Linked DNA regions of Macaca fascicularis. The protein of the gene in region 1 purifies or fractionates together with the protein of each later gene. This does not show direct contact. Links are inferred from orthologs where the notes say so. Each region holds a gene or a part of one and is shown in the gene's direction. Other genes may lie near its edges.

Region 1 (3,807 bases):
GCCATTGGGAGGCTAGAGCACGGTTGGGGGCTAGGGAGCATTGTGGGGCAGCCAGGCCAGCAAATGGCCAGTCCTCCCTGCCTGGGCCCTGCCTTTTCCTCCTGGCTTTTCTCTCCCCATCCCGACCTGCTTTCCCCTCCCTGGCCCTCAGAAGAGTGGAGAGCGCATGGGAAGTACAGAGGCAGCTGTGGGAGGCAGACCCCATGTCCTCTCCAGCCTGTGCCCCGGCTGCTCTGGGGCTTGGGAGGTGGCAGCCGGTGGAGCAAGGATGGGGCCCGGAGGGCTGGGGAGGAGCAACTAGTGTCCCTGAATTGGAACTGGAGGAGGATAGCAGCCCAGGACCCTCACTTTCCCCAGCCCCAGACCTAGCCCTGGCCCTGGCCTATCCTGGTGGAGAGAGGGAAGGATCGTTGATAAACGACCGTGAAGCCCGTGCTGCCTGAGGGGTCTCATTGATGGGGTGTGGGTGCAGGTGGGAGCCTTGTTCCACCGATGAGATGGGAACTCGAGACGGGCCCATGATGGTGCGACCGCAGGGAAAGGGCGGCCCCTTCCCTAATGCCTGAGGCATCTCCCTCTTCTCCCCCAGAGAGCCTTCTCCATGGACGACCGCATCGCGTGGACCCACATCACCATCCCCGAGTCCCTGAGGCAAGGCAAGGTGGAGGACAAGTGGTACAGCCTGAGCGGGAGGCAGGGGGACGACAAGGAGGGCATGATCAACCTCGTCATGTCCTACGCGGTGAGCTGCCGGCCTGGTATCAGGGGCATCGGGGAGGGGCGGGACGCGTCAGAGGCCTTGGGGTGGGGCGGGTCAGGGTATGTTGGGACACATCGGGGCTGTGCCACCCCGCAGACACCCTGGTCTCTTTCCTGGAGGCACTGAGTCCGTCAAACAGCAGGGCTCAGCGTTCTGAGGACAGAGGGAAGGGGCCCTGGGTGGTTTGGTGGCAGAGAGGAGCTGCCCCGCCCACTGCTCCTGCCCATCGATTCTGTCTGGGGAAAGAGCATCGGGGTTGTTTGTGTTCCTAAGATGGGCCCACCCTTTGTGGTGGTCTCCACTGCAGGCCCCTGTGTCCTCGGAGGTCCCTCACAGCCCTTCCAAGCTCTGCCCTTAGGGTCCAGCTGAGCAGCCCTCCAGGGTCTGAGATGCAGCCCTGGGCCCTATGGGACACCAGGCTCCTCCCAACAGGGCAGGCACTGGCCAGGGTGTGGAAGGGCATCTCTGGAGATGTGGGGGAAGCCTGGGGGCTGCCGCGCTCGGGGTCAGGAAGTCGAGGCCTGGCCGTGGGGCCAGCACGTCAGCTGCCCTGGCTCCCAGCTGTCTATATCCTCAGGACACCTGCAGCTCCTGGGGGCATCGGGAGGGCCAGTTAGAGGCTCCAGGACGCAGAACTCCTACCGTCTTCTCTGTGTTATCACTCAGGGATTCTCTGTATTATCACTCAGGGATTCTCTGTATTATCACTCAGGGAATTTTTAGGTTGTTGCTGAAAAATGGTGCTGTGGGAAATGCAAGGCCCATGTGACAGTGGAGAGGGCGCAGCAGGGAGCCGCTCTTCTGGGCCATCTTGGCTCCTCCCACTCCCTTTTTGTTAACGCCGGGATATTTTAAAGCAAGTCCCAGCCATGAGTGACCACGTGTAAATGTCTCAGGACGCAGCTTTAACCGATGCTTTCATACGCAGAACCGTCATGACGCCCCAGTGACTTTACCTGCAGGTGACAGTTTTCAACTCAGAGACGACAGCAGTGCAGTGACTTATCTCAAGTTGACAGTTTTAAACTCAGACACCACAGCTGTGCAGTGTGGTTCCCCCCAGGCCCCCTTGACACCTACACTGGGATGTCCCTCCTGACACCATCGTCTCTCCGTCACATCCCAGTTAGCGGGGGGTCTGTAAGCCTGAGCCATGTCACCTCCTGGACGTGAGGAGGTGGCGCGGGGGGTCTGTAAGCCTGAGCCATGTCACCTCCTGGACGTGAGGAGGTGGCGCGGGGGGTCTGTAAGCCTGAGCCATGTCACCTCCTGGACGTGAGGAGGTGGCGCGGGGGGTCTGTAAGCCTGAGCCATGTCACCTCCTGGACGTGAGGAGGTGGTGCGGGGGGTCTGTAAGCCTGAGCCATGTCACCTCCTGGACGTGAGGAGGTGGTGCGGGGGTGGGAGTGGGCCCCGGCGTCCCCTGTGCACTCAGGGCTCACAGCTGGGTTCGGGGCTAGCATGGGGAGGGCGATTCCTGAGGTTCTGATGGGTAGATGTTCCTTCCTGACCCCGGGACCATCTCCGCTGTGTTCCAGCTGCTGCCAGCTGCCATGGTGATGCCACCCCAGCCTGTGGTCCTGATGCCGACGGTGTACCAGCAGGGCGTCGGCTACGTGCCCATCACAGGTGCGTGTGCTCCCTCCTCCCTGGGTGCCTCCCCCCTGGTAGAAACCCCAGGGCCTAGGGCGGGCGCAGGACAAGGGAACAGGGCTTAGAGCGCCGGTGGGGGGACGCCATCCGTTCTAGAATCCTGCAGACGTGCCGACTGCACGCAGATCCTTCTAGGCTAGGGAGCCAAGGATTACGTTTGAATTTTGTTTGCATATCTAGAGAATAGAATTGGTTTTTTTTCTAATTGTTGGCAGAAATGAGATGAGTTGAAATTTTCAGAGGTGTGGAAATGTGACTGAAACCTCGTCGTGCCCAGCTCTCTGCAGGAGAACCTCACACCCCTGTCGGGCGATGCATGCTCTGCACTGCGCTGTTGCAGCCGTTGTCGTGTGTCACTGTTAAGAGTGAGCAGCCGGTGGCTGCAGCAACACCAAGCGGGAATGTCGCTTTTCACGCTGTTGCATTTTTGGTCCAGCTGTCGCTGTCGTAGCAGCTGGTGCAAGGCCAGCCCCCACCATGGACGGGCCCAGCGTCCTCAGCAGGCGGGGGGACAGCAGCCCCTGAGGAGGTGCTCGGGGGGAGCCTGTGGCCACCCTGGTTCTCCACCCAAGGTGGCCTCTCATTCCGGGGAGCTGGTGTCTGGCAGAGCGTGGGTCCCTCTGCACTGGGGGACCAGGCCATGGAAGTGGCCAAGTTGCGGGCAGGGCGCTGGGGATGCGTGGTGGTGTTGGGGGAGGGTCTCGGGGCCTGCGTGAGGCCCCGGCTGCTTGTGCTCAGGGGCTGCTTTGGGGTTGGGGTGGGACAGAGCTGCTGGCAGGCGAGAGTGCTGTCAGGCCGGTGCTGGTGTCCAGCCCAGCTGGAGTGGAGAGGCCTGGTCCGCACCCCAGTCCTGGCAGCATCCCGTACAGATGCAGAAAGGCCACCTTGGGAGTCAGGACCTTGCCCTAGACCCACCTGATGTGGCCTGAAACCCAGCCTGGTGGTGGGAAGGAGGGGACGGCGCTGGGAGACTCTGGTCTGTCCACTGGTGTTCAGGACATTCTCTGACGAAACTGCTTATGAGAACAGCATGGCCCTGCCCTCACTTGCTCACATCGAGACTCTGTTTCCAAGTAAAGCCGCCTGCGCAGGTGCCAGGGCTGCCTTTCTCCAGAGGAAAGAGCAGAGCCCGTGTCTGAGCAGGGCCTCTATGGTGTCCAGTGTCTTAGAAAACCACCAGCCTGGGCCAGGAGCGGCGGCTCACGCCTGTAATCCCAGCACTGTGGGAGACTGAGGCAGGCAGATCACGAGGTCGGGAGATCGAGACCATCCTGACCAACACGGTGAAACCCCATCTCCACTAAAAATACAAACAAATTAGCCGGGTGTGGTGGTGGGCGCCTGTAGTCCCAGCTACTTGGGAGGCTGAGGCAGGAGAACGGCGTGAACCCGGG
Region 2 (4,361 bases), on another chromosome or scaffold:
AATCCAGAATTCTGGAGACAACGCCAATAAGACTGCCCTTCAGGTGACTCTAATCTGCAACCAGATGACTTTCACAGGATCTATTCAGTTCACACCAGAAATCCTACCACTGTGAATAGAAAAGCTGTTAGGCTAATAGCACAGGAGGTTTATACGGGTTTATTCCTTCCTCCTTCAGACCTGTGCATGTCTGCAGAGATGAAGGGAAGGACGAATTGAGTAGGTTGCTGAAAAACGTTTAATTCAAGGGACAAGGAAGGTTAAGGAAGAGGAAGAGACATTACGAGTTAACGACAGTGGCTACGTCTACCTCAGCCGGAGGGATCTTAGAAATGGAGACTCTGAGGCCCAACCCCAGGTCTAGGAAAACAGATTCTGCATTTTAACATCCCCAGACGATTTGCATGCACCGGTCTGCATCCCTAGTTCTCAATGAAATCAAAGAATCATCTGGAGAGTTTGCTAATAACTAGACACCTGGGTCCTATCCCTCAGAGATTCTGATTTTCCGGGCTCTCGGTGGAGCTATATTTTTAACAAGGCTCTCCAAGTTATCCCGATATAACTACTTCAAGGTCTACGGTCTGAGAAGTACGGACCGGGAAGGCCTCTGCAAGGAGGTTCTCATTCATAAATTCACCCACTCATCCAGCCAGGACAAGGGCCTTCCTAGGCTATTCTGTCTAAAGCGGCCCCCGTTAAACCGCACTCCTGCTTTTCCCTTATAACACCCACCCCAGTTGCAAGTTCTCTGTACGCTTACCGTCTGACTCCCTACCCACTAGAACGTGAACTCCAACACAGCAGCGACCTTCTGTGCTTTTCTTACCCAGGTGATCTCCGAGAACAAAATCCAATCTGACGCTCACCCACCCCTCCCGCGCGTGTCAACACCATTCAACAAACCCCTTCTACCTCTAGCTGTAATAAGTAACAAGCAGTGTCTTACAGGGCGCCTCGGTGCCCAAGAGCGGATGCAAAGGCACTGGGCGGGCACAGGGTAGCGCCAAGGACACCCAGGGACGAAGGAACCGAGAGGGGACTTGACGCTCCGCCACTCCGGCCGGCCGCCCCTTGTCCCCGCCGCCCTCGTCGCCACTGAGATATCCCCCACGGTCTACCCACCCGTCGGCTCCCACCTGCGACCCAAGGACCCGAGTCTTCCAAGAGCTCAGCCGTTAGAATTCAAAGGTTCTTCTTTTTAAATAGGAGTTAAACCCTCTAGCCAGAAAGCCGATTGGCCTGCACTCGAGCGAGGCTGCCTTGTGATTGGTTGACAACAAACCCGACGCCTTGAGTCGCGTTTAAGGCGCACACCGCGCGCAGGCGCACTTGCTCCTTGAGACCCCGGAAGTGGCGGAGCCAACGGCCAGCCAGACCCGTGGCAGTGCCAGCCCCAGGGTACTCTCCGGGGTCGGCCATTTATCGGTGAGGCAGCAGCCCCTTGACGTCAAGCTTGTCGCATTGGAGATAAAGTCCGAGGGGGTGAACTAACCTTTTGAACGTGCCAGTAAGTAAGATGGCGAGAAAAGCAAGCGAGAGTGCGACCGATCGATAGCGCAGCGGTCGGCTTGGCGCCCTTTCAGCGTGCGCAGTGAATGTGCGCTCGGAGCGGTCGATTGGGCAGGATTCGCGCCTCCATTTTTCCAGGAGAGAGCGGGATACCGAGAGAACCGGACCAGCTGGTACTGGGGCACGGGGAGAGTGGCTGGTGCGGTCGGCTGGGGCGTTTAGCGAAAACCACAGAAACAACTGGGGCGAGACCGGAAGAGTCCAGAGTTAGCAAGATGGCATGCGCCTCTACTTTGTGCTTCCTAAGTTGCCCGGCTTGGCCTGCACCCCCTCCTCTTCCTCAAAGGGCCTCGCTTCCATTCCCACCCAGTCCTTAGTTCGCCTCTGCATCCAGATGGTCGCGGCGCATATAGTGAGGGGGCGTCTGTGTTCTAGCCTTTCCAACTGCGATGTAACCGGTCCTGGATCGGGTTCTTGTCCTCGTGTCTCCGTGTGCTCACCTGCAAATTGGGGATAATTAGGCTTCTGTTTACCTGGCGAGTGAACGTTCTGTGGGAGTTGAGAAGTTAGGACTGGGCCACCATAAAATATATATATACACACACATATATATATACACATACATGTATACATATATACACACAAATGTGTGTGTGTGTATATATATATTTGTACACCCGACATGTGCTCAGAAGTGAAGAGACCGGATAGAATAGTGGTGTAGGGGAGCCAAAAATGGCTTCCCTCCATCCTTCTAGGTACCTTATTAAGACTAAGAGTTAAATTACCATAAGACAAATTAACAGATTACTGCAGGGTAAACAGGATGTGCATGTAAAGCATTGAACTGGCATACGGAAATTATTCAAGTCATATTAGCACGACATTAACAGTAGAATCTCTCATCAACTTTTCTTTGCCAGACTACCCACTTGTGATTTTCATTCTTTGTTGGTACTTAAGAATCTCCCATTTTTTTCGGGTCACTAAACATTGTCCATAGGAGAAAAACGATATTTAATTATGTACAGGAGTCCCACAAAATACGAGACTAAGAAGTTGAAGTCAGATGATTAAAGCTTACATGGCATCCTGAGCTACTGAAAGGAATGAATAGAGGGTTGGGGGCGGGTGGGAGGATGGTAAGCAGCAGCTGTAACACAAGTTTTGGGAGGGTGAACGGAGGAAATGTATGGTGAATCAAGTTTGTTAATGCAGACAGAATAGGTGATCCTCTGGGTGGTGTCAACCTCTAATCTCCTCTCGTGATCGGAGTTAATCTTCCCTGGTTCCTATGATCTAAGTGAATCTTCCCTGGTTAATAAGGATTCGTGACAATTGAGGTATTTTTGGAGGGTCAGACTTTAGGCAGGTAAGGAAAGCACAGGGAAAGCCTCTTCCCGCCTGCTGTTCTCCAAGTGCCCTCAGTTCAAAGTAATCAGCCCGCCAAAGCATCTTGCTTTGGGCTGGCATTTCCTGAACTCCTTCAGTGGTTAAGCTCAGGGCTCTGGAGTTGGCAATTCTGGTGTGCTTTTAACCTTGGATAAGTAACTCAGCCACTTTTTACCTTGAGTAGGTGTTCTGACCTCCTTGAACCCATTTCATCATCTTTATTGTGTCCCAGGATTTTCTACTCAAGCATAGACTTATTATGTTCATGTACTACTTCAGATACTTGAATACATTGAATGATTTTATTCAGTGAACTGATGCTTACAAAGTACTTAGCATGACTGTATCTGGCATGCAGGAAGTGCTTAATGTTGTTGGTTATTATTAACACCATCAGTGTCGTACAGTGTATAAGAAATAGACTCTGGGCCAGGCGCAGTGGCTCATGCCCATAATTCCAGCACTTTGGGAGGCTGAGGCAGGCAGATCACAAGGTCAGGAGTTCAAGACCAGCCTGGCCAATATTGTGAAACCCCGTCTCTACTAAAAATACGAAAATTAGCCAGGCGTGGTGGCACGTGCCTGTAGTCCCAGCTACTTGGGAGGCTGAGGCAGGAGAATAGCTTGAACCTGGGAGGCAGAGGTTGCAGTGAGCCGAGACTGGGCCACTGCCCTCCAGCCTGGGCGACAGAACGAGACTCCATCTCAAAAAGAAAAAAAAGAAAAAAGAAATCAGGCTCTGAGGTCGCTTTTATTCTTTATTGCTGTCCCCAGACACCTGTAGCCTTTTAATATTGGTTCAAACATACACATACATAAAGGCATTGATTTTTAGTAAGCAGATTATCATGTTCAACAGTTGGAGTTCTTTTTTGAATAAGCCAGAAACCATTTACAGTTTTTTTTGTCTCTTAAGACTAAAGGAAAACTTAGACACTTGTAAATCAGTGCATGCACAGTCCTTCCAGATTTTTACTGTGTTTTTCATTTTTATTGTTTTGACCTTGATTGGCAGGATTTTATTGGGCAGCTCACCTTCGAGCCTTTCTAACGCATTTAACTCTGTTGAGTTTTTATAGTACAGTTGCTTTTTTTCCTTCATATTTTCATTTACTGTCGAATTAGATTATAGAATTACAGTCACAAGCTCAGTTGCCTTAAAACAGGTTTTGAGAATGAACATAAAAGATATTAGTAAACATACAGCTCAGCTAGTGGAACCAGCAGTCTAGGCCTTGACAAAACAGCAGCTATCTTGCATGTTGCAGGTGCTAGTCAATGTTTAATTAACAAAAGAAATGGAAGATTCTGGGATAGCAATAAAGAACAAAAATCATAGGTAGGTAGTTTGGTGGGGGAAGAAAAGTCGATGAGGGATTGTACCGTAAATATTGGCTAACATGACCTGAATAATTTCTGTATGCCAGGCACTGTGCTCAGGGCTCTATATGCACCAC

The links.
Region 2: the proteins of TOLLIP (region 1) and CSTF1 purify together in Homo sapiens (co-immunoprecipitation; 3 studies listed by BioGRID and IntAct, with this or other methods). This does not show direct contact. The link is inferred for Macaca fascicularis from reciprocal best matches to the Homo sapiens genes TOLLIP and CSTF1.

What each region holds. Positions count from the first base shown.
Region 1 is NC_088388.1:1,223,259-1,227,065, forward strand, and holds part of TOLLIP (toll-interacting protein), read left to right. Parts: intron 1-589; coding exon 590-742; intron 743-2,298; coding exon 2,299-2,389; intron 2,390-3,807. UniProt on the Homo sapiens protein: Component of the signaling pathway of IL-1 and Toll-like receptors. Inhibits cell activation by microbial products. Recruits IRAK1 to the IL-1 receptor complex. Inhibits IRAK1 phosphorylation and kinase activity.
Region 2 is NC_088384.1:112,427,022-112,431,382, forward strand, and holds the start of CSTF1 (cleavage stimulation factor subunit 1), read left to right. Parts: upstream 1-1,334; 5' UTR 1,335-1,510; intron 1,511-1,608; exon of another isoform or gene 1,609-1,685; intron 1,686-4,361. UniProt on the Homo sapiens protein: One of the multiple factors required for polyadenylation and 3'-end cleavage of mammalian pre-mRNAs. May be responsible for the interaction of CSTF with other factors to form a stable complex on the pre-mRNA.